Drosophila melanogaster: one gene and its partner. The gene in region 2 interacts genetically with the main gene of each other region. Each region holds a gene or a part of one and is shown on either strand. Other genes may lie near its edges. The genes, in order: dar1 and nudE.

Region 1 (12,990 bases), 6.3 Mb from region 2:
ATTAAAATTGGCGAAATACCTAAAATATAAATAGTTTCATAGTCGAAATTTCATAAAATAACCGATGCTCAATTTCATCCAAATTACAGATATATTGAAAATTAAAAGCATTTAAGATGAATTTAACGACTGACTAGTGACTCACCTACTAATAAATGACTAGATGTGCCTTTGTATTTTAAATTATTTGGCCCTAAAACTAGTGGGCATTTAAATAAATGTTATTGTAGCTATAAACCGTTTTCAAAAGCGTCTTTTATTTAATTGCGTTTAAATTCCTTTTAAGCGTTGTGGCTTAGCCAAAATGGCGTTTTCCTCGTTCTAACGGTTTCAGCGCAATTGTCTTCCTAGGTACTCACCGATACACACTCAGATAGCCATTTTATATAGCTACTATGTACAGATACAGATACTTCCCGTTGAGCGGTACATGCGCAGTGTCACGCATTCGCTCAGTTGTTCAGCTTTTCAGTCCGCTCCGCTCGACGGCTGTTAAGCACCATTAAGCAGCAAAAGTCAGCGTCGCCATGTTGAGACGGCCACCTCGCCACTGAACCCCTGCCCACCCCACTGCCAGTGCCACCCACCGCCCCGCTCCCCCCGCTCGATAACACCCGCTGGAAGCGTCCAACCAAAAGTCGGCAGAGCTATAGCCTAAGCCCCGCAAGCGCAGCAAATCAAAACACATTTCATAGCTTGAAACAAAGCAAAAACTTAGGTGGAGAGAAAAACAGCAGCTAGAGCTGGGAGAGAAGGGCCAGAGGCGGCGAAAAGGGGGATTATTAATTTTCGTATAAACATTATTTTTATGTAGTAAGTTGATAAAAATTTAAAAAAAAATTAAAATCCCAAAAGAAACTTCATAACATTTAAATATGCTTATTGAAGAGTGAGCAAATATATGTTAATATGTGGCACGTTGCTGCTGTACCGCTTCGGTACACCCCCCCTCCCCCCTCTTAGACGGCTGCGGCCCCCTATTAAAATCCGCCCACCCCTGCACTGGCTCGCCGCCATTTGCCGAGCGTTTTGCCACACAGTTGCTGCCGTGCCGTCGATGTTGCTGACGTCGTTCTGCTCATGTGCGCATGACGAATGACCGCAATTTGCGACAGTTTTTTTCCCCGGCTCTTAAGTATTTTATTTATTTTTTTTTTTAGTTATTTTACTTTACATATCTGCCCGGCTGACTGATGTTGTTGACTATTAGCTGTCGATTGTGCTGGCCGCTGGTGTGTGTATCTATTTTCATTATTGGCTGACTTTAAATGTGATTCGTATTTGCCTTTGCCTATATATAAGTTTATTTATTCTAATGACAAGTCACTCGAAACTGACTGATATTGATATGGTTATATGGTTATTGTAGTCGCTATTTGCTATTTACTATTTACTATTCAGTGTTCCTGTCTAGCGCGCCATTTTGCTATTGAGAGCGATTTGGTTTAGTGGGTTCTAGCGATCGTTATTTGAAAGCGGATTTAATAGAGTCTGTATGTGATATTGAATTTGTTTACGTGAAAATTCTGCCACAGAGAATTTAGAGGTTTTGTCATCTCTTCATTTACGGCAGTTAAACACCAACGTTTATTCTGCTTTCAAAGGAAGGAAAACAGCAGTTTTCCACCACATTTTGACACTTCCCTAGAGTCTTCTAAATGTAGTTTCCCCACTATACATACTAGTTTTCCACCCCCGCTCACTCTCATTTGCATAAAACCATTCGCACAGCTATTACATATCACCGGGATATTGAATATCCCTGGATATCCTTGAGGGGCAAACAGGAATGCATAATAAAACATTAATTGATGTCGCTGACGCGTCGTTTTGGAAATATTCTCACAATTTCACGCTAGGCAATCATAATATTCGGATATATTGGGGTGGCCAGTGAAGCTATGAACAGAACACTACAAATAACATAGCACAGGAAGTGCCCTGAAACCCAGGGCCTACAAAACCAATTTCCGATCAGAGCTGGAAAAGCGTTCAGCCATGTCGAGGGGCTCTTAACCCATTGGTGGCCGAACTCAACTGGCATGCGCAACATGTAGATTGTGTGGAATCAATAAATATTTGAAATGAAACTGTTGAATAAACGCTGATCGGTCGGACACAGGATTTGCGGGCAATTAATTTGTGTTATTCAGGAAATTTGTAGTAGGGGCCAGAGTCGAAAGTTCAATGGCCAAAAGGCGATTATTGACAGGCCCTATTAGTGGGTCAATTGCCCAGAAGAGATCTCAATGCTGTCCACTCGTACCTGGCGCTTCTTCTTGACTTATAGCCATTTCGAGTACCTTTCTGTACTCTGGCAATTAGCGATCGATCATAGAAATCTCGGCCGGGTGATAAAAGTTAAGTAAGCACATAACGTGAATTGAAGTGTTTTTAGACGCATATGCGGCTGGGATGGGATATCGCCCATCGGTCCACGGATTATATACAATAGTGCCTTACGAAATGTGCTGTGATTTCGATTTCAATTTAAATTTGCAATTTGATTTCGTGTCGGACTGGTTTGTTTGAACCTTTGTTGGGGCCTTACGACCGATCGAGCTGATCGAGCGATGGAGACCATCCGATGATGGCTTTATCATCGCACCCCGATCAAATGTGTTTTTTTTTTCTCACCTTGTTGTGGAAATGAATTCGATGCGAAATTGAAATTTACAGCGCCGGCATTTGACATCGGCTTGGGTCAACTATTCGAAGATTTCACGCAGATTTTGTTTCATAATCAAATAATTGATCTTAATGCGGCATCGGAGCTTTAAATGAAATTTATTTCATTTCATTCGCTGTCATCCGCTGAGCTTTTGATCCCATCAAACCTGAAACGAATTGCGCTTCAATGTTGTGGGGGTTTTAGCACCTCTGTGAGCATAAAAGCCTTTTTTCTTATTTTTGGGCAAACTAGTTTTCGCAATAATTCGCCGAAGTCAAACATGTTTCTCCTTTTTTTTTTGGGCCTTAGGCCCGGCAATCTATCAAAGATTTAAGGTGATACTTTTTCTGAGTCGAAAAAAAATGTTGAAATTAGCCGGTCAAAAGGGTTGCCTTTGGTCAATAAATGCTCACTCACGTGCCATAAACATTGGGTAAGAAAGAAGGGAACAAGAGCTTGGATTGGGTTAAATCAATAGTGAGGATTCTATTGAAAAGCTTTTAAAAAATCCAAATTGATGGATAGTCGATATTATGATTTCAGACATTGGTTTTTAAAGCTCAGCACAAGGGGTATGCGAAGAAATTAAAGATGGTGGCTTAATACTGCTAAAGGATAATACAGTTCTTCTTTCAACTATAATTCCTTAATTCTCAATAATAGGCTATCCAGAAAACCGCAAATTCTATGTGCACCCAGTGGCTTGTGAGTGATTGATTCTCGCGGCACGATTGACCTCCAACTTGGCCAGGCGGCAAATCAATCAAAACTGGCTGCAAATGAATGATATTTTTTTCCCGACTTTTTTGTGCCATTTTTGGCGCATTTGTGTGCTAGTTTTCGTTTTCATTTGCATGAATTGGCGAAATCAAAATATGGCAAAGACTAGACACTAAAAACTTGGCATTGTTATGGTGGAAACAGAAATTACTGGCGAGATTTGCATAGGAATCGATCGATTGATGGGCGATCTCCCACTGGGCCTTAATGAGATTTTGGCCAACTGTTTTCATGGCTTACTCCAGTTATTATTTAACTGCCATTGTCTGGACGGTGTGTAATTGGCAATCGGTGTTTTGTTCGGGGGCTCGATCCAATCTTGAACTCATTTCGAAATGGAAAGTCTACTAGGGATATCATTATCTTATCGGGCCATTATTCGGCTGTTTTCTATCTAATTTGCCACGATTTTTTATGGCTCAGATGAGCAGACGGCAAGGCAATTGCCGTAATTCTTGTTAAATTTCAGCACCGATTTTGATTCTTTGAAGGCGGCCGCCTTTGTCTGATTCCGATTCGCAAATGCAAATATTTCCTATTGATTCAGATAGGCTATAAACTCATATACGTTTCATTTGGTATATTTGTAAATGTCTTTTATTGACAAATCACTGGAGCGACTGCAAGTTTCGTTTAGTCTTAAATAATTTGCATAATTCTTCGGCCCGTTTAGTTTAAACACCCCCCCCCCCCCTTTTTTTTTTCAAAAGCTCAAACTTAGAGTTATCTGATTTTTATCTATATTTAATTATTTACGATTGAAGCACAATGGTTCAGGGTCATTAATCAGAGCCGCAAAAGTCGGCGCTATAACCGCCTGGCTACGTGCTGGATTACTTCCATTATTCACTGAATGTATTCGATACGCAGATACTCGGATACTTGGATACTTCTATACTCAGTGCAGCTAATTCCCTGTAAGCGATCGTAAACTAATTTCGTTTAGAGCCATAAAATACGAAAGTTTTTCGTCATAATCGCCGTGAGTCGTGGGAATTACCTTACCATATCTCATCATATCTGTTAAATCAGTGGAAAACGGAAGAAGTCCACCCCCTCACCCAAAAGCTTACACTATCTGGAGGAAGTGGATGGGGCTTCCAGGGGGCCAAAGGGGGCCAACAGCGCTTTGTACTTTTGCGACTGTGTGTAAATATTTGACAACACATGCCTAATTAGTGCAGCTATTGATGGTGACAGGCGGAACAAGCACAACACACTTGTCGAACACCCAGCTCTTTTACGATGCCTTTTTACCCGGAATCGCCAATGTCTCGGGTTTCTTCGTCTGTACCTATGTATGTATATCTGTTTCGCTGAGGTTCCCGGAGTTCGATCCTTATCTCTGGGGGAAGGAAGTGTTCTGAGGAGGGCAGCTGGAGGCACTTAACACAGAGCTTTTGTTGAGCAAGGCTAGACTTTCTGCGGGAAACTGAACTTATCAATGGGCGTAAGGCTGGTAGACCAACGGTTGTAAAATGTTGAGATAAGGCAATAAGACAGGGAATGATAGGAAAATTTAGGAAGATAGCCTACACATCATAAAATTTATAAGAAAGATAATCAAGGCTCAAGATTATTGGTAATAAAAAAGTACGTATACTTTGAAAAATTAATTCATGGTAAATGAGTATGGCCTAAAAACTTAACCTATACTCGATAACTTTAATAACCACAATCTGTGCGATCAGTTTCACTCTAAAGTATTTATTGACATTCAGCAATAAACAGGATAAACAGTTCCTCGGAAAGACATATTACTCATACGTATGTACCCTTGCCGTTTGTAATTATGTTCTCATACTATCCAATACCATCGATCAATGCCACCCAGTCGATGATCAGGCTATAGCTATATGTATATATTCCCGGGTAGGAACCGTGTTGAAACCATCTCGTCAGTCAGTTGGGGACACTTGGCACATTGGCAAAGTGTTGGGGGCAAATATTTACCCAGAGCTTCGCAAGTAAGCGCGAGTCAAACAATTGAGGCAAACAAGCCGGGAAAACAGAAAAACAGGCTGCAAACATGGATATCGAAAGGAGGAGTGCGGATCGGATCGCATCGGATGGACTGTGATCGCCACAGTTTCCCTGCGGAACGCGTGAAAAGTGTGGATGAGTTCAAAAGAGTTAACCGACCGTGTATTTGAGAACGGCTTTAAGAGCCGAGAGTTCCTGCAGGTGATAACAAGATTTACAAATCGATTGTCGCATTTGACAAACAAAAAAAAACAAAAATGGGGAAAAAACGGCGAAGGAACCGAAGGAACACCTGAGGAAATCCAAGGTGTTAATCTCTGTCGAAACACACTCGAGAACACTCAAAAATTACGCAGTCCAACTCCTCATCTCAATCGATAATTGAGCTAATTTGTTTTCGGTTTTATTGTAATTTGTGATTGCCGCGTGCGTTTTATTTATACTCGTACTCGAATTCGTACAAAAATCGTCAAAAATCTGGTCTGTTCAAGATTTGCATTTTGATAAGCGGAAGTTGTTGGGCTTAAGGTGTTTTTCATGTGATTTGTAAGCTCTCGTATTTGTTGTGTGCTCGCTTATTGTTGTCAAATTTGGCTAAAATTAATTTGCAATAAAAGCGGCTTAATTAGCGCACTTTGGTACGTAAAGTTTTTTTTGTTTCATTTGAATTGGGTTTGACAAGGAACCTGTGATTGCAAATTAATTGGCTAATGATTACGATATTTAAACGCTTTGTGATGTGTTCATCCTTGTTTAAAGACACACATATTCTTTCTATAATAGTTGGATATATTTCCATTTGAATGTTGATCAAGCTAGGGAATTTTATTTAAGTGATTGATATTTGAAATTTCGACACTGCCTTTTATTTGATAGAAAATATCTATCTGCTATTTGGATTTTATTTATTACAAAAGATCAAGTTTTCTAGATCTTTTCGCTGGAATTTCCAGAATGTCTTAAGTAGCCTTTAATTAAATATTCTAGTAACCGAACTCACCTGCATCACCCAGTAGTTATTGTTGGCGGCAAACTGATCACCAATTATGATATCCGTATGCATTTAAGCGGCGTTTTTCGCATGAAGCTCCTTCACTCGACTGTTGGCCAGGTGGAATGCCTGGCGGGGGAGGGGATGCCACCGATTCTACCGATATTCTACCAATATTTAACCCGACAATTTGCAACTGGGCTCCGTACTTTTGTGTTTGCGGACAATTAAATGGCGCTGCTCTGACTCACGAGTCACGATCAGTTCAAGGCACAGTGATTAATCAATTTCGGATGCGAATTCAAAATCGTATTCGGAATCGAATTTCGGGATTATTATTGAATACTTCAGCTTGACATGGCACTGCGAGCAACAGACATTGCGGCACGTTTTCTTATTATTCAATTGCTTTTTGTTATTTGTTGTTAAATTAATTTAATTTGCAAGGATATGCAAATGAAGGCACTCGATCACTTTCTCTCACTCTTTTGTTTCCCTTTGTTTGCACACTGATTTTTTGTATCCTTTGCGTTAATTGCACAAAATTAATAAAAGCCGGCGGCTTTCGCTCACTTCCGCATTCGATGATGAGCTTCGGCTTGTATCTTATTTGTATCTGTATCTCTTGTTCCTCTCGATATGCTGTATATATGGGCAGTAAATTCGTTGCAATATTCTACAGATAATGGTAAGGCACTTGCGGGTTTCAATTTATAACTTATTTTCTGTGTTGCTTGAGTGGATATTTAGGCGATTCACGCGCTCGTCGGCGAAGTTGTTACTGCGCTGGCGGGAACCGAGTTCGTACTGATTGGACGAGCGCGGGTTTCGCGCAGACGAGCCTCGAAAGTCAGAAAGCCAGTCAGCTAGCTGCCGCTTAACCCCCGCCGCTTAACCCTCCACTGCCCGCTCTGTGCCGCTCTCGCTCACCTTTCGTATCTGTATCTGTCGGATACTCTGCTCACCAGGTGTTCCGCTCACCTGGTCCGCTCTCCGCCACTTTCGGCCCAGGTGATCTGTCGCTCTTATATCCGACTCTCAGGTGTGTTCCAGCCAGCTGATCTTATTGGAGACACTGGAGTATAAGAGCTGCGATCGATTTTAATTGAATGAACCGCCTGGGATTCGCCATTTTAGATTTGACCTGCGGTAGAGGTGGTAATGGGTGAAAAAGTAAGTAACCACGCTTCAGAAAAGATCTCGAAATAGGGCAAGGAGGTTAGAAATTAAAGTTTATAAGTCCCTTATGGAGTATTCAGTAACAAATAAATAAAAATTATTAATTTTAGAGTAATAATTTTATTATAATCCGATCAATTAGAATATCATTTAAATTTACAAAACTTTACAATTAAATGTTTATATAAATAAAATCTACATATATGGCTTCGATTTGATTTAATTGATTTCCGTAAAGAACTTTTATACGACAGAGTGTTTTTTAAGGACCTCGTTCTTTTTTTATAAGTTTTATAACTTAAGGTATAAAATTGGTAGCCTTTAAGGAGTAATAAATCAAAAACATACAAAGCATAATCCCCGAACAGAACCTCCCCCATTAAAACCGCTTTACTACACCGTTCATTAAGTTTGACACATTTTAGATAGAGCCTAAACAAAATAAAAACTGTCCAGCTAACACGCGAATCTTTCATAGACCTCATGCAGTTTTAGATGGTAAAAAAAAAACATAATTAAATAGAATTAAAGCATAAATTAAGTCAGCTTATGTGCTTTCTTTGGGGGAAATCAATAGAGCGACAATTAAAAGGTATCTGTATCTACATATTCCAGGTGGAAAGCAAAAGAAGAACGAGGACTGTCATTTCCCTGTGTAATTCCCTGAATCATAAAATTACCCCAACGCACGCCACACATAAAAGCCATTTTCATTTCGACTCATCCCCCTGGTTTCCTTATTTTTGGCCATTAGGGAGCCACAAGTTTATGTTTTCCGCGCGCGGGGGGGTAAAATGGTTGGTGCAGGGGGGCCAAAAGTATCTGAAATAACACGCAAACGTGGTTTTCTAAGGGGGTTTTTAGAGGTGTGGCCTCTCCGGATAGCGGCGCAGACTCAAAAGTCAGCCAATCGGCGGTCGACAAAAAGAGCGAGAAACACGAGATACAAGATACAACGAGTGAGCGGGACGGGGCATGCGGTTAGAAAGAGAGAGCGAGACACTTTTGCGTACACGGTGGCAGTAAGTGGAAAAAACAACAACAACGCTACACGCAGGTGGAAAAACAAAAACATCAACATACATGGTCAGATACGAAAGTATCTACACTCGCAGATACATTCGTCCATATTCGACGCCACCGATAATTGACTGTAGTATTCCCCGGCTTTCGCTATTGACTTCGTGCAAATTTGCCATTAATGCCACCGCAGACGTCTGCAGATACAAGCCGAGATACTCAGATACATTCGAATTTGTTTGTCTTCGCGCTTTTGTTTGCTCTCGAGCTGCTTGTCTTACGTTTGGCATCCGTGAGATATGCCAAAGACACATTTCCAAGCCCGTACTTGACTCCGTTCGCCGGTTGACAAATGCCAGCCAATTTATAACGCTTTTGGCCTAGAATGAAGCGGTTGAGTACGAAGATATGCGCGCTCTGGGGATTTAAATATGCATATTATGATTAAGGGGCTTTAGAATATCTATGGCACTGTAAATTAAATTATTAATTGAAGGGTACAACGAAAATGCGTGTTTTTCAGTTATTATGTTATAACTAAGTCAAAATAAGACACATCGCTATAAGAAGCACTGTTTTTTACACCCGACAACCTAAGAAGAAAACCCAAATCACTTTTTAAGAGTTTTTGAAAAAAAAAAAATTTACCCATTTTTCGACTTTTTTGTAAGGGGTACCATCATCAAAATTTTCGAAAATGGTCAAAAAAATTTTTTTTACACATTTTAATGGCAGTTGTTTTGTGTTTGTAAAGGATAAAGATCTGAGCACAACGAGGTATAACTTTCCAAATTTGGACAATTTTTTCGATTTTTATGCACAAAAAACTAAATTTTGTTTAATAATGACTTGTCTATGAGTATATACCATCCTTAGATCCTTCTGTAATCATTTTAAACTCTATTTACTTCTCTTTATAAATGACATATTTATATCCTCTTTACTCACGTTTTTACCGAAATCCCCGTAAAAAAAAAGCCTGTAATGTATCAATTTTGGCGCTTTTATGTCGAGATCCGATCAGTTAACCATAAATATTCAAATTGGAGGCGCACATCCTTGTAGAGTAATTGATTTTCCCGCCAGCGATATCTGCGGGATTTATGGAAGCCCCTGTTTCAGCTCTTACCTCACACAAAGATCGATGTCGATGGGTACTACCTGTTATGAGACTGGAGATTCGAGGACTCTCCCCCCAGAAATTCACTGCACTCGACCGAGCAGAACTTATCGGCCAGCTCGACATGATTAATTGCCCACCGAAGACCCTCGAGATCAGTTCGTTTGAATTGTGGCCAAAATATTGTCACGCTTCGAAATCGGAATCGAAATAATATGAAAAACACGATCTGAGAGCCTCCAAGGAAATGGTTCTCCGCTTGATTGATTCCACTTGGCGGCACTTGCCGATAAAGAAGGACAAGTTCCCAAATGATTTCGATTTATTCGGGCCGTGCATTGTCAACCTGGAGTTGTTATTTCTTCCAAGAGCAAGGGTCCCAGAGATTACGCGGCAATTTGTTTTGTCTGCGCATTTTCTGGGAAATATTTTCATAATTTCTTCGGCTTAACCTTATCGCTCGAATTTATTTGTTTGCATAATATGCGAGGGTAATTGAAATCTCAGCCAGGGGAATTGGAATTGGGGCCACCTCGAATTCCATCTAACAGCTCAGGCGATCAAGATCAGAAGACTTTTAGTTACCCCGAATAATTGGGTCCCCGAAATGTGCATTCTATGCAAATGCGGCCAAGATGCAACTGCGAATGCGAATTTATACGAATGCTAATCAAGTTAACACCAAGGCATAGTCACTGTTGTCTGACAATTTTTAAGTGCGTATCTGTGTCGCTGCAGCGGCGGCAACAATTATTAATGATTTTGCTAAATGTTACAGAAAATAATGACAGCGCAATGCTGTGTGCAGCTCCACAAATTACAAATGCACACAAAATGCCTTTTAGATTTCGGATTTTGTATTTCGGTTTTCGCCTCTCGCCTTTCAACACCTCGCAGCCCACATTTCGTTGCGTTGAATGAATGATTCGACATGTTCCAAGTGGGCGGCCCGCCTGAGGGCGTGTCACTTTCAGGTGAGGGCGGGGGGCGTGGCATGGCGGAAAGCGGAGCTGCGGCGGCGAACAGCAGGCGGCTGATTCTTCCCGAGCTTCATGGGCACTTTTTTGACATTTAGCGCGTGCGCAAGCGCAGAAAGAAAGAGTCATGATCTAAGCATCTAACGATCTACGACACAGCGAGAAAAAACTATATCAATCGGAAATCATTTTAAACCTGTAAAGAAAAAGATTCATTATATTATTATATTATCGAAAATAAACAAATGAACAATGCTTGTCACAAATTTTATTCTCTTTTATCGTTTATATCCTAATAACCTCCCCGTACTATCTTAAAGATTCATCCTTTGCTGCCTAATAAAATTGACATTATAGGTCTCGAAGCATTTTTATTGTTATTGTTAGTAATAACGTCCATTATTTGGAGAGTATATTACCTATTGGTTCGCTCGCTTTCAATTGTCGTAGTGTTTTATCTGTTAATATACTACTTCATATTTGCTTATACAGCCTTTAGTCACAAAAGTTCTGAAGGACTTTCATTTCAATAAGCTGATGTTAAATTGAATTAAGTGATTAGCATTTCGGGTGATATTTTCTCCCAGTGGAGTGCTTCATTAAATTCCCGTTTCCCTGTACCACTTCAGGTGTTGGAAAGATGAGCCCCCAGTGCGGTACTCCTCCGACATCATTTCTATGATCGCGTTAATCACCTTTCAAGCCCACTCGAAGCGAAGTAGAAACGATATGGCCCTTGAGAGTAGCTGGGGATCGGAGATGTCGATGGTATGGGGGTAACTTACAAAACTTACAAACGATATCATTGCTTACTCAGCAGGTTTCGGGGTCCCAACTATTTTCGGGAGGGGGTGCGAACTGCTAATGATGCGACTGCACAATTGAAATGAAATTAATTTTACGCGGCAATTAATTAAATCTCGGCTGTGGGCAGGCGCAGAGAAAGCCAAGGCCTCCCACACCAAAGACTTCATCATCTTCTCTAACTCCGGCCAATAATAATTATTAATTGGGCTAACAAGTCCCTCGGTTTTTGGCTTTCGGATTGTGAAATCTCTCCTTGGCCTTGGCCAAAAGCCAAAAGCCATAGACCATAAACCACTGATACACCATAAATGCGACGACGCACAAAACAATTGCACCGAAATAATATAAATTCGTGTGAAATTAAATCATAAAAGTAACCATAATCTGGCCAAGCCCAGAAACCCACCAGCACACGTCAGACATTGCAGACATAGGCCAGACTTCAGACATTATGCGATATTCGATATTCGGCACTGACACAGAAAGCCGAAAATTTCCATAGGATTTTCTATCGATTTTTATGGCGAATCGGAAAAGTTTATCAATGCCGAGAACTTTTCTTCGAATGTGACATGCAAATTATGAAACTTGTTTGGTGAACCCAAATTCTGGCCAAATTTCCATATAAGGGCCTGCGTTTTCTATTTGCTTACTATTCGTTTGTTGAGAAGTGCTTATAAAATGTCTTATCTATTTGTTTTCGTTTACGATGCTCTTCGTCAAACCATTTTCTGCCGATTTTTATGACCAATTGGAAAAGTTTACCAGCTCTAGAGCAAAAGCCGAGAGGTTTTGATTAGCGCCAATTCGCTCTAAACTAATTTCGTTTGATTTTGATAAGAATTGATATCTGGAGAAAACCATGCAAAATCTTAGAAGATTCTTAAGATACTTTTTAATTTTAAACAGCGATAGCAATTTGAACGAACAACTAAGCATATCACTTTTCAACGAAAACTCATCCAACACATCATTCGCTTAAATAATATTTTGACTTTATTTCATCTGAGTGGCCTTGTTTCTAGTGCCTACAATTTCATCAATAAGACAAACAGTCTTTGGTCTCAATTTAACGAAATTCCAAAATGAATCCAAATTCACGGTGCCTCGCGCTGCTATTCGTTGCGTTATCCTTTCTAGCTCAGGGCTTTTTCGACAGTTACAGAAGTCCAAAGGAGTGTAAGTTTTGAGTTAGAAACAAAAATGTATTACTATATTGTAGGTTAATGTGTTTTAAGCAGCCGGTCTGGCCACTCTCTGTCAAGAAATTCAAAAGATCCAAGATGACTTTGTGCATCTGGCAGATAATGTAAGCTAGACTCTATTTATATCATTGTATTGCTTTAATCCCCCCAAAAGTGCTCCATAGAGAAACTGACGGTGAACGACTCCCTGGAGTATCTGCAGATCAGTTGCCATGTGGATGATCTTCCAGAGGGCTACGAGCGGAGACTGAAACCCG
Region 2 (13,096 bases):
ACAAATCATGTGGCGAAATTGGAGTGGCCTTGGAACGGCACGAGGTTGCTACGAGTATGCACGGTAAACAGTATAAATCCCGCATACACAATTCAAAAAATTAACGCTATAGATTTTTTTTTACCATGCTGCGCAACTGGAGGGATGACTAAGAGCAAGCATCAATAGCAAATCCACTCCATGCACCTCGTCAAGAGCCGGAAATTTACTAGTACAAACAGTGCATTATTACCTTACAATCGCTATGAGACGCTCGGAAAGCCATTAGAACGCATCGACAATATTTATTAGATATACGGAATGAATAAGCATGTATTTTTGTAACATCGTTAGCTCCGAGCAGTCCACATATTTGCCCAGGTGCTAGAAATAAGTCCAGCCAAACTCTGTTACCCAAACAAACGTTGTTATTATTATCAGGAAAGTAACGCGAAGCGAACAAGCCAACCAACTCATCGAATATTTATAAGCTTAAGCAGAATTTCAGAATATCAGTCAATTTATTGAATCACATCAAAAAATGTAATACGCATATATTTTGTATTTAGTTTTCAGATCAGTAATCTCAAAACATACCTTAATTAGGCACCCTCTATGTCAAAATAAGTGTTTAACTAACTGAAATTAACCAATCGGGTTTAGAGGCTCTTTTTGTTGGATGCTTTTATATTTTACTATAATTTTTGTGAATTAATCAAAGTTACTCTTGTATGCAATTGTTACTATTAATAATTTGTTGTCCGACTTTTTGTATGCATATAAATAAAATGCAGTGATGATTCAATCTACTTGACGACTATAACTACATCAGCACCATTCGGGACGCCAGCATCGATCATTATTTGCTTCATTTCATCTATAGCCAGATTGTTATCGGATGCCAAGTTATTTAGGACCTCGAGAAAGTCTTCGTACTCCAAACGCCATTTCCTGAAACATGTATTTGATTAAGAATGATATGTAGATTTGATGTAGTTACTCACTTGTATCGCATGTATATTAAACCGGTCTGAGTTCGAGTTATGGGATTGGGCATGAGCTTGGCCTGCTCTAGCCAGGCGTCCAACTGCGAGAGGAGTATGCTGTCAAAGTACTCGTTCTCGATGTCGGTGGGTATGACCTGGCATCATTTAGATGAAAATTACTCTTCAATTAACCGGGTCATTCATCATACCTGGAAGTTGGAATACACCAAGAACAGGCTGTCCAGCGTGTGCTTCTTTGGTTTATCTTCATCATCGGCCATCGTGTATTATGTGTGTTGGGTGTTGTGGTGTAGTGTATTAAATCGAATTTGTACAAACGAGAATGGTTTCCCCTGGCAGATAAAGAGCAGTATTCTGTGTGGGTGTCATGGCTATATGTATGTGTATTTTGAATTGTTTTGTTGATAAACAAAACGTACAGAGAATCGGATGCTATCTAGACAACTGTTGCCATGGGCACGGGCCATCGTTCTAGAATTGTTTACTGCAAAAGTTTTGAACGACCTCTTGGACGCATATCGCCAGCTTGGGATTCCAATCGAGGTATCGGATATTCTCCGTGGCATACGGCGCATCGATGACCACCTGACGGAGTATATTGATCGCCACTTGGTCGCCTTTGTTCTGCCAGATGATAGCGGGATCACCGAATCGCTTGACTAACAGTCTGAACAGAGCTTGACCAAAGGGCGAGGCATTGGGATGATAGCTCCGGCAGGAGAGCGTACGATGTTCGGTTGCGTATCGGTATCGTTCTCGGATCTGCAATTGCAAATGGTTGAATGGGGTTTCTTTTAAATATCTATATAGAGAGTGCTTCTACCATGGGCAAATCAATCGGTTCTGGCTGTTGAACTTCAGCCGGCGGAATTGCTTCCTTTACTATTTCAATGTCCATGCACAGGGATAGGTTCACAATGGTCACATTGCAAGTGGTCTGTTCGTCGCCACCGCCATTGCTTGATGGACACTTCATTATCAGCATTTTCACGCCCAGATCGAAGGCCACAACCTGGGAAATTGAAAGCATTACATAATCATAAAAATAATAAATAATATTTAGTTTTACCTCGCCCGAAATGTTGTCGCCAAAACAAGTCTTGCAGCGCACAATAGAGCCCACAGTAAAGCAAGGAGCCAATGATGACATCTTGGCCAAGGAACTTAAAAACTTTAAAAATGTAATCGAAATCGAAAATCCCAGCCGATGTCCGATGTCAAGTTCAAGGCACTCTATTCTACTTTCATAGCCTTGTCATTTTGTCGCCAAAAAGTTGGTGGTGCTTGTGGTTTTATTTCTTTTTATTTACAGTGTATGTATGCTAATTTATAATGTACTAAATATAAATGTTGTTGTATATATATATATATATTTCAAAAGTAAACCGTTCCTTTTAATCATATATATATATGCAATTTCGCAGTTTAGCAGTTGCTGTCTAAATTAATTTTCTTTATATCTGCATGAGCGTTTGCTTGTTCTCTGTTGTTCAAGAAATGTTGCTTTGTTTATTTGCATTATAATTATGTATTTATGGTATTGTATATGCGCGTATGTGTATGTACCTTCATTAGCACTATTAGCATACCCTTCAAATTGTTTCTAACGCCAGGCAACAAAACGCTTTCCTCCGCTTTGGCGAGAACTGAGAAAAAGTGCATTGGTTAAATTTTAGGCAACACAAAACTCAAAAGCGTATCAACGAATACGTAATGTATGAATACCGAAATATCTTGCAGGACAGGCACGAACGGATAACAAATCGGACACTTAAACAACGAAACTGTACAATCTTTAAAATGGATCCTGACGATTCTAAAAATGAGATGCACTGTGGATTGATCGGTCGCTGGTCTAATAACTAATGACTGCCAACACAGATCGGGGTTTTCCTTTTTTACTTTTAGCACTTGAATGGTAGCTGCACGGCGACCCTTGAAATATTCGCTTTTAGTATAGTGTTTAGTTAGTTACGGCCTTAATATCCTAATTATGCTCTTCAACGGGGAGACCTTCTTTCGTAAATTTAGCTAGGTTTGCTATTAGTTTTGCTCGAAACGAAGAATTTTTGTATGTAGCTGAACTGCTGGAGAAATGTTCATATGTTCCGTCTGCAAATTGGCTGCTTGTGTTTAGTTTTAAATTTAATATCAAAAGGAATGATATATATGAATAATATATATATATAAAAATAAAACAATGCACTTTCTTCCTTGCTACTGGCCCCGTGCTTTAGCTTTACATTGGCCCATCGATGGCGCTCACTTTAAGGCGGAAATAGTAGGCGGACCTGGCCAGCATGCAACCCGAAATCACGAACAGCGCCACGTAGAGGAAGTACATGCCACCATGATCCTGGAAAAATGCAAAAGGAAACACACATATGGGTTTAGAAAATCACATACTTCAGCTTGATTTTAAATTGATTTGGCTTACCGAAGCAATCGAGTATGTGCCGATAGTTACAGCGATGCCTGTGATGAGGAACACCAGCGCCACGATGGCGAACATCACGGCGCGGCTGTTGGCAAAGCGCGAGCCCACCGATGAGACCTTCCTGCAGTGTGGACACCGGGCCAAGGCGTTGTGATACGTGTTGAACTGTAAGAGCAAGCGTTACAAGACTCCTGCTGCTGTGATTTGGATTAATAACTCACCAAAAACGTGTCCGAACAGTGGCCACAAGTGACGCGGCACATGCCCGGCATGGTTGGCACGGGCGGGGTGACGGGACTTGGGGCCAGGTTGATGATCCTCTTGCAATTGGGCCTTGGACAAGCGATTCGCTGCGACGAGCTCTTGCAGATTAACAAACAGTTGCATGGGCAGCGAACATACTTCTTGCCCGCTGGAGCGTTCCGAATGGGCTGTTGATAGCCAAAAGCGTATTAAGTTACAATTGGATTCAAAGAATCTGCTTAGAATTACTCACAGTAGCCTCATTGCAGTGGGTGCACTTGACCACGTGCTGCTCCCGCTTCGTGGTGATGTCAATCATGTGTTGACATACCCGACAGGTGACCATCGGGACGCCTCCGGTGTTGGTACTCTGCTGATACGGCGGCGGCAGCTCATCGGGTCCAATGCAAGGCACTGCGGTCGGTGCTCCATTGCCTAAAATTCCATTGCAAAGTATTATTAACTACTTATAATATTGTTAAGACCCATGCCCTTCAAAGGCGAGACCTTTGGTGTAGAATAAATACATCTCGCCAGCAGAGTTCGCTCAACCACACTGCTCATCTGGCGGTGATTGGCTCATGGAGGGAGTGAGAACTGCATTTTCTGATAGTGTGCAGTGTGTGGCTCTGGGAAGCTGCGATAAACCAAATGGGTCAATGTTTTGGCGTTATGAATGCAGCTTTCTCGTACAAGCATTAAACTAGTGCAACTAGACCGCAGTTGTGGTTCTCGTCTCTCGATCAAAACAAGTTCGAACTTTGTGAAAGACGTTTTTAAATGAAAACAACGCAAAGAGTAACATCGCACACACTCTTTAGGAAAATTGATATGAAGTGGATAAATTGCAAATAAAGTCATATTACTTTGGCTAAATAAATATATAATGTCAAAAAGAAAGGAATACAGAAAGATAACCTATGCAAATTAATTGGGAACATGGAAAGTCGTAAAGCCCTTGTAACTAAACTCTTGTATATATTAATGATATGGACAAGCTTTTTCCGAGCTGAAGATCAGGTTCCTTGGTAAACAATGGAACCACTGCTCATCGCAGACCCTCATTTTCGCCCTGTATTGCGATAAGGCAGCGAATGACATGATGACTCATGGACTCATTGACTGCCCCCGCTTAACCACCACTATAGCAACACCTCCGAATCGATGCTGATTAAACAGCTGTGGGGAACGCTTTTTGCGCTGATTACGAGCGTCCTAGCATAAACAATAACAAAGGCGGTGCAAAAATTTTGCCGATACCGGCGTCGAGTAACTAACTACAATCGATCTTTACATTTTTGGCAGCTCTTCACAATTTCGTGATAAAATTACATTTTTTTTATGGTGTACGTGGCCCATTTGATATTTAGGCCAATAAGAAAATTTTATATTAGGTTGTAAATTTTTGGTAATACCAATAATACTGGGCCCTATTAAAAAATAAAAAAATGGCAGATAATTTAAAATGGCATTTGGGCACCACATATCCTATCAGTTTTTCTTTCTGTGCAGTCCCATTGCTCTCCCCCCGCACCAAACCACACGCATTTATGACTCAGTTGGGTGAAGTGTGAAAATGCCAAATGAGACGGCGAGCAGACAACTCGGAATCACGGCGTTGGATCCGGATAAGTGGAGCGCCCGCACACTTGTTGGGCTTCCAATGGGTTGCCCGCCCGGCTGATTGGATGCGGGTTGAATGCCCGGCTTTACAGTAACGATACGCACCGTCCTCGTTTGTGGCCACCGATGAGTTGCTGCCGGGATTATCGGCACCCTCGTCCACGGCGTCCACGGAATTGTAGCCATTGCCGTCGTCCTTGTTGATCAGGCTTTGTCGCTCTGGATCCGCCATTGTGGACTATCTTCCGATAAATGGATATTTATATGTGTGGACTATAATCTCTATATGCTGGAGCAATTCCCGTTAGGCTGCACTTCCAGTTGCCTTTGTTTTGTTGTTGCTGTTGCTGCGGGGGCTGCTGCAACGCGTTGATTTCAACTGGAAAATGAGTGGGAAATCCAATAGTTTAGTTGCTGTGCCACATAATTTCGGACGCAACGAGCTCTTTGTTCACGATTGCCGCAGTAGTTTGGTTTTTTTTTTCTTCGTTCGTCGCGGTTTTCACTCGCGTTGATTGAAACACATCCTCCCTTTTTTCACTTTTCGGCATGCGCCGCAATTAATCAATTCGATGATGCTGCATGTGCAACGCCCACGCGAGCTCGATTGTCGCACTCACACAGTTGACATTTGGTTATAATACTGGCAATTGCGTTAATTGTTTAACAATTGCTGGCCATAATTGTGCTATATTTTACCTTATTTTTGTTGAAAATGCACTGCAGTCGCTGCGATCTGGCCACACTCTGGCTAGCTATCTGGCAACGATGTCCCGTTTGAGATTTTTCAGTTGCGGCCCTGCCAGGGAGTTGCCACATCGTTGTACTTGGTAAAGAACCAGAAACAGATCAGCGAAAAATTGTTCATTTTTGGAACCAAAACAATCCAGCGCGGCTTAAAACAAATATGTCTAAAATCACGAAAAACTCCAATAAAATTGACAATAAGGATTCTGTAAGCGGGGAAGGCTCAAATAGTGGGGACGATAACACGTCCACAAGTTCAAGTGACTTTGAAACAAGCAGAAAACACAAACTACGCCGCAAATCCTGTCGAAATGTATCATATCATTATCATGCGCTGCCCATGCGCGTAGTTGGCGAAAATGTTGCAGCACTGCCACAAACTCCCAGCTCCACTCGTGATTTAACACTAAGCTCAGCTCAAATAATTGAAGATAGTTCCGACTCTGAGTTTCATATTTCGGACGATACCAGCAACGATGCGCCGGCCAACAAATCGATAACGTTCACAGCACGTCCATTAGAGAAATATGATTTGGAATATATAAGAAAACTACGTAAACGCAAAAAAAAGCCGAGTAAAACTTTATATGTTGATTAAATTTCAAATAACAACTGTTGACCAGGGCTGGAAACGGCAAATGCCCATCTATTGGCCAACACTGGCAACCCAAGCCAGGGTTGGCTTGTGCGTTTTTGGAGTAGTGGTAAATTTTTACGAGCATAACTATTTACACTGATTTTATGTAAATAAAACAAACAAAACGTAGCAAAATTAAGTGCAAAGTGTAAGTAGTAAATGTGGACAGTCGTGCTGTATAAAATTCTAGGTATAAACACTGGAATTCTACGAAAAAATCACCGATGATTTCATTTCCATGCAGTGCGTTGTTGTATGGGAAACTTCGTCGTAGCTATTTGTTGTTGTTGTTGTTGCTGCTGCTCATCACCATCATCCTCGTTGTTTTCGTTGTTGTTGCCGCAGCAGCTGCGTCACAAAAATGAGTTTTGTTTAATTTGATTTTATTTACATTTGATATGGACAAAACCGACTGCCCTTTTAGGGCATCGAACAAGAACAACAGCAACAGTAACTACAAAATTCAGGGCAAACACCTGTTCCTAATTGATTTTTCACTTTTCTTCGCCGACTTCTAGTCTATTCACCACCCCCAACACACAAAACAAAAAAAAAGTAAAACTACGACTTGAACAACAACTGTGTTTTGGCATTTTAATCACAGCAATTAAAAACAAAGCAGCCAAAAAACACGAATAAATAACCCAAACAGTAATAGACCAACCGTAGTACATAGCATTGTTCAGAAATTAAAAGTTAAATCAATTCGAACGAACGAAATTACAAACCCATTTTGACCGCCGATTAGTACACAAAAACCAGAAAAAGGAGTTAGCAGCTAAGGAAAATTTGCAGAAATGGAGTCGCCCCCGATGTTCAATAGTGTGGAAGATGAGTGCAGATATTGGAAGGAACGATCTAAGCAGTACCACAAAGAGTAAGTGCCCATCCCTATTACAGTCTCCGAAATCAGCCATATAGCCTAGTTTTACTTTTAATTTTCAGGTGGACAGACGTGAAACAGGAGTACGACGAGTTTGTGGAGCAGTCCCGCGAAATGGAAATAGAAATGGACGCCACTCTGGACCAGAAGCAGAGTATAATCAAAGATCTCACAGCCAAACTCACAATGTTTGAGCGGGAAAACGAGTCTCTCAAGGTAGCTATAAGCTAAGCCCGATTTACACAAACTGAGCTTAATTCTTAGACTCAGTTTGCGTATATGTGGCTTTGAGCTCCCGACAAGATTAGTCTTTACAACTATTTCATTCTCAGCTCAAGTTGGAATCGCATGGCATCGATATGTCAAACATGGAGAAACAGCTGGAAACGGTGAAGAAGGATCGCGACACCATGAAGGTGTACCTGCGGCAGCTGGAGCAGAAAAACGACGATTTGGAACGTGCCCATCGCATACTTAACGAAAGCATAGAGAATTTCGAGAAGATGCTGGATCAGGCCTACGAGAAGAACGCCCTTCTGGAGCTGGAAGTGGATGAAAAGGGATTGCTGCAGGAAAAACTACAGCGATTAATGGATGAGACGAGAGGTGGATGCATCTATACCAGATGTCCAGCACAGACTTTAAAACTAATTCATCAAATCTATTGCAGATCTCAAACAAGAGCTGAACGTCAAGTCACGCTTTACCCCAGTGGTCAATGGAACGAGCGTTCCCACGGCAAACGACACAAATACGGTCAACAGCTCGATGAACTCGTCCGCCTCGCTGCCAAATGGTATTGTTGCCAATGGCGAATTGGTAAAACACGACAATGCTGTCGCCACAAGAGCCACCAGCGTCAGCGTCAACGCCCTCAATGGCAGTTTAGTTAATAGAAACGAATATAACCAGCAGCATTCGCTTAAGAGTAAGATACTAAGTTCCCTAAAGAAAACCAGACGCGCGCTAAAACTGTCCAAGACGAATCGCCAAACGTTCAAGCCATGCATTTAGTATTGTTTTTCCATTTGTTTCTTTTTTACTTGTTAACCAAAAAATGTAGCCCGCTTAAGTTCCTCATAATTTGTAATTGTATTGTAAATTATTAAAATTAAGAGCCCAAATGTGACGAAAGAGTTTGCAACATTTCTTGTAGGCGATTTTTGTACGATTTGTGTTTGCGTCTGTAGCTAGTAGTTGACCTAACTAACCTCTCGACTAACATGCTGTGTACGTGTGCTTCCTCTTGCAGATCCCGAGAATCAAATCAATGGCAATTCCATGAACCCCAGCTCCCGCACAACGGCGCTCAACATTGTGGCCGACATGTTAAGAAAACTAAACGTAAGTCCCTCCGCAAACTATAAGTCCAGCATGCCATCCTACCTCATCCATTGTTTCGTATGTACATATGATCCTTGAACCCTTCACTCCCACCATCGGCTTATGTGTTTTTCCCTATGTTTTTAGTGGGACAAGGCACTGCTATGTCCCGAGTGCGAAAAGTTTCGCTGCATGTGTGAGCGCCCGGCAAGTGTGCAGCCGCCGCCGCCGCCATCGGCCAGCGAGGCAAGTCTTTTTCGCCGCGCCTTTGGCGGCAGCAGCAGCTCAGTGGCCACCAGTAGCGCCCAGTCCACGCCCACCAGCGATTGCAGCTCCGCCGGAAGCCTCAGTGCGGGCTCAAACATTTTTAGGCGCTTCGCCGAGCGCATGCGAAACTCGCCGGACGCCAGCCTGCCGCTCTGACAATGCGCTCGGAACTTTAAGGCTAATTTTAGTTGCCCTCCGCTTGCATTTATTAATTGCATTGGTTAATAAATACAAAATTTATTTGTACCTTATTTTATGTTCTTTGTTTTTGTTCGTTATGATTTATTCAGTTTCGAAAGCGCATAATAACTTGGCTTGCTGACTAAACTCTGCACTGGGCAAACCGTTGCGAAATGAAATTTTCATTAATTTATTTATTATATGATGTGCCCAAATCCTTCTATAGTTAATTTTTCATATAGTTCACTGACTGTTGCTTAATCCGCTCTCGTTTTGTGTTTTTTTTTTAGGCGATGGAGACGAAACTGAAGACGTACCGCGAGAATGGTCAGCCAATGCCGCAGCGACACCGCTCCTCCCAGCAATCCACACATCCGGCGCTGGCCGGACTGCCTTGCTTCTCGCTGGATGCCGAGTAGTGTGGATTCTGCAGTTCAGCGTGATCCACAAACCCCAAATCCGAAACCCAATCACCTAGGGCGGGATACTGTTCAGTTGGCTTTACGTTTACGTTACGTTACTTTAATGTTACTGTTCGCATTAATTAAGTTTCTGCTGCCTCTTTATTTATTTGAACTAAAATGACTTTGTATAAACCACTTGCGATATTATGAATTACACAACAGTTGATGTTGTTGTTTCGAGCCCAACATATATAACATGCCTTAGTACGAATTAAGTGTATACCTAAGCTATAAGTACCCACTCGGTTCACTTTTGACTTGAATTGTTAACTCGAACGCAATTGTTTTGGCATACAATGTGTTTAGCGACTAAGTTCAAAGTTGATCAACCAGCAAAACAAGCGAAGAAGCTCTGTCCAAGTATTATACTTCAAGCGGACAACCAATACTCGTAGCGTTTAGGAAAAAGACAAGATCTAACCCGGGAAAAAAAATTATTAAAATTATCGAAACGATCATCTAGTTATATTGTAACTATCCCCAGAGCTATTTTCTGTTTATATTTACCAGCGAATATAAATTTGTAAAAATGCAAAATATTGCTAACGGCAAACTGTATAAAGCATAACAAAACTCCAACGAACAGGCAAACAAAATATATATATATATGTATGAATAAAGAGCAAAATAATTAGTTTAATAGAAACCATCCACAAGCACATCAATGTCGATGCCGTGTGTGTTGCAACTAATTAGTTTTAAATAATATTTGAGTTCATTACACAAGTTGAATGCTGCGTCAATTCCTATGCCAAGGCCGAATTTTCATATCGAGAGCTTTTCGCAGGGGAAACTTTCCCCGTTTTAGACCCATTTCATTGCGGATTTTCCCGGAGCTTTAGCCCCAACCAAAAGGATGCTGAGCTCACTGAGTTTGTGGATGGAGTCGGCTGGTGGACGCACAGTGCTCCATGGTGGGCAAAGTAAACTGGATCTGATGCCGACCTTGCTGGCGAGAAGGTCCCGTTGGCGGTAAGCTAATGAAAGTACTTTGGTTTTTATAAGTAAGCACCGGGTGGGTTAGCGTCGTCGAGTGCTTGGCATTAAGCGAGCCATGCTAGCTGGTTGGCTGGAGAACTAACTCCTTTCCAGATGCCAAATCCGCCACAGCAAATGCAGCGAGGGAAAAGTGAAGTGAAAAATGAAAATATGACACAAGCTTTTATCATACGCATAGCACTTACCAGGGCAAAAAGGGATGGACTTTCCTGGACCTGCCTGGTGTTGCTGTTGCTCTTGTTTGCTGCTGAGTGCATTGTTTGCTCCCGTGGGCGGTATGGGCGGTCTAGGTGGTTGTCCAGGGGGCGTGGCAGTGGCCATAAGCGGATTGGGAATGGCACAATGCAATTGCCGTTTGAAATAAAAGTGAGCAGACACAAAGCCAGTCCTGCATGAGTGCACCGAAAAACAATTCGGATGCATCGGTTTATTCGATTTAGTTATGCAACTATTTATTTATTTATTTACTATCAATAAATGTGGGAAAATTCCTGTTTTGGATAAAATAATAGAATAAAAGATAAATTGGTACTTAAAAGTACCATTTTAAGTTCTAAGCATAATGTTTTATATTTTTTTTTTCTAAATAAAGTTATTGAATAATATTGAATTAAGAAGAATTTTGATATTTTTCTAAAAGTGAGTTGCTGACGATAAAGCTGGGAACTGAAGGTTATTCCCTTCCTTGGTCGCCCCTTTTTTTTTCAAAAGTAATTTGAAGAATCTGCCTCGTTTTTTTGCGCCGAGCCTGTCGCCTGATGAAGTCCCGCGGGAGGGACGATCCCGGGCAGCTAATTAACTGGCCGCGAATACCATTTGCCCAGGAGCACAAAGGCCAACAATCAGAACCTGGCCAACAGTTCCAATAAGCGGGTCAAGCGCAACTGCGAGCGAACCCGATTTACCCTCTGCAAAGCAAACAAACTCAATTGTTTCGGCATAAAAAACGAGCAAACAGCTCGTAAAAAACTGTATCAAAACACTGGCTTAAAGCGAAAGCTTTCGAAATGCCTCGAAAAAACAGGGTGTAAGGTCTTTTGGCCAAATTATCGAAGTCATTAAACGGAATGGCTTAAAGACTTCAAGCATAACTGAGTGTAGAATTTAAGTCGGTAACTGACAGAAGAGTGGTTATTAAACACGTTTTAAGAGCTATTGGTCGTAATTTAATTACAAAGAACATTTAGTTGAGTGGTTTACCCATTAAAAGGTAGTTTTTCTAATCTGACGCTTTGGGAAATATTATTTATATATTTTTAATTCAGTTCAGTTGCAACTTAGGACTTTAAAGCTTTGATATTCTGATTAAGTACATTTATATCCTTGGACCTAAAAATATTAAAAGGATTTTCATGTTTACTATATATACAGTAACCTTTAACCTTTAAAGTAAATAATTAAATATGCTTGAGCGAGAAATATACTTTCGCTCTTTAACGATGCGATTTGCATTTTTCCTGTATACATTAATTTACCAAAAAACAATCAAACAGGAAACCGAAAATTCAAATTCCTACTGTATCATTATCTACTAATTCCGTTTCGCATGAAATTTTTGGCTACCAACGAATTCCACTTCCGGCGGCACCCTCTAAAAATTTGGCGATGGTGGCCCAAAGGTTTACGGCATTTATGGTCTTTAAATATTTAAAATACGCGACGCGTCGCCGTAATGTAGGCACGGAAACGAGTACACAAACGGAAATAATGATGAGGTGTGTATGCCTTTGTTTTTGCTGCTTTCTGGATGCCCGAGGGTCCTGAAAGCCAGGACTATCCACTTCGCATATCCGTATATTCGTGGCGCCCAGCTTGAACATCAAACAAAATCGATATGTGGGCGGTGTGTATGATTTTTGGCATAAACAAGCAACAAGCAGGGCACACAGGACACAACACACACACACATACATACACTTTAGCTGGCCGGGGGGCCGTTTACAGGTTTGGTCCTTGCTTTGTTTGAGCGCCGCAGGACGCTCATTTTTCGTAATGAGTTCGTCTATGGGCGGAGAGGATGGGCTAACACCAAAACTGGTCTGGCTGCAACAGGACCAACTGAATCTGTTGACCCAAAACTCGGCATATCCCTGAAAAGTATTTCCCTCTTTTTTTTTGGGTAAAAAATGGTTGGGCGACATCACTTGGGGAAAGGATATTTGTTCACTGGCCAGCTGCAGCTTACAAAGGGCTTGATCTGCCAAAAAATGCGGTGTTCAATTGCTATTTTTTGACTTCAAAGAGTCAAGTAATATTACATTTTCTGCATTGTTATTAATTATTATTTGAAACTTTTTGTAGTTCTCT

What was found.
Region 1: of nudE (region 2) and dar1, changing one suppresses a phenotype caused by changing the other (phenotypic suppression), as found in Drosophila melanogaster (one study listed by BioGRID).

The regions. Positions count from the first base shown.
Region 1 is NT_037436.4:3,620,589-3,633,578, reverse strand, and holds the start of dar1 (dendritic arbor reduction 1), read right to left. Parts: upstream 7,228-12,990; 5' UTR 6,498-7,227; coding exon 6,435-6,497; intron 1-6,434. Other genes in the region: CG14974 (uncharacterized protein), read left to right, coding at 12,614-12,707, 12,767-12,837, 12,888-12,990. UniProt on the Drosophila melanogaster protein: Transcriptional regulator which promotes dendrite growth by suppressing, either directly or indirectly, the expression of the microtubule-severing protein spas.
Region 2 is NT_037436.4:9,892,535-9,905,630, forward strand, and holds nudE (nudE), read left to right. Parts: upstream 1-6,706; 5' UTR 6,707-6,821; exon of another isoform or gene 6,822-6,853; intron 6,854-7,191; 5' UTR 7,192-7,470; coding exon 7,471-7,550; intron 7,551-7,618; coding exon 7,619-7,772; intron 7,773-7,888; coding exon 7,889-8,162; intron 8,163-8,226; coding exon 8,227-8,484; coding exon of another isoform or gene 8,485-8,570; exon of another isoform or gene 8,571-8,663; intron 8,664-8,808; coding exon 8,809-8,900; intron 8,901-9,026; coding exon 9,027-9,302; 3' UTR 9,303-9,378; downstream 9,379-13,096. Other genes in the region: CG6709 (uncharacterized protein), read right to left, coding at 786-930, 984-1,120, 1,175-1,246; Hez (hezron), read right to left, coding at 1,458-1,748, 1,810-1,998, 2,056-2,136; CG6707 (uncharacterized protein), read right to left, coding at 3,226-3,342, 3,424-3,588, 3,645-3,854, 3,920-4,101, 5,395-5,521; CG46387 (uncharacterized protein), read left to right, coding at 6,197-6,634. UniProt on the Drosophila melanogaster protein: Chaperone protein with functions in nuclear localization. Required for centrosome duplication and formation and function of the mitotic spindle.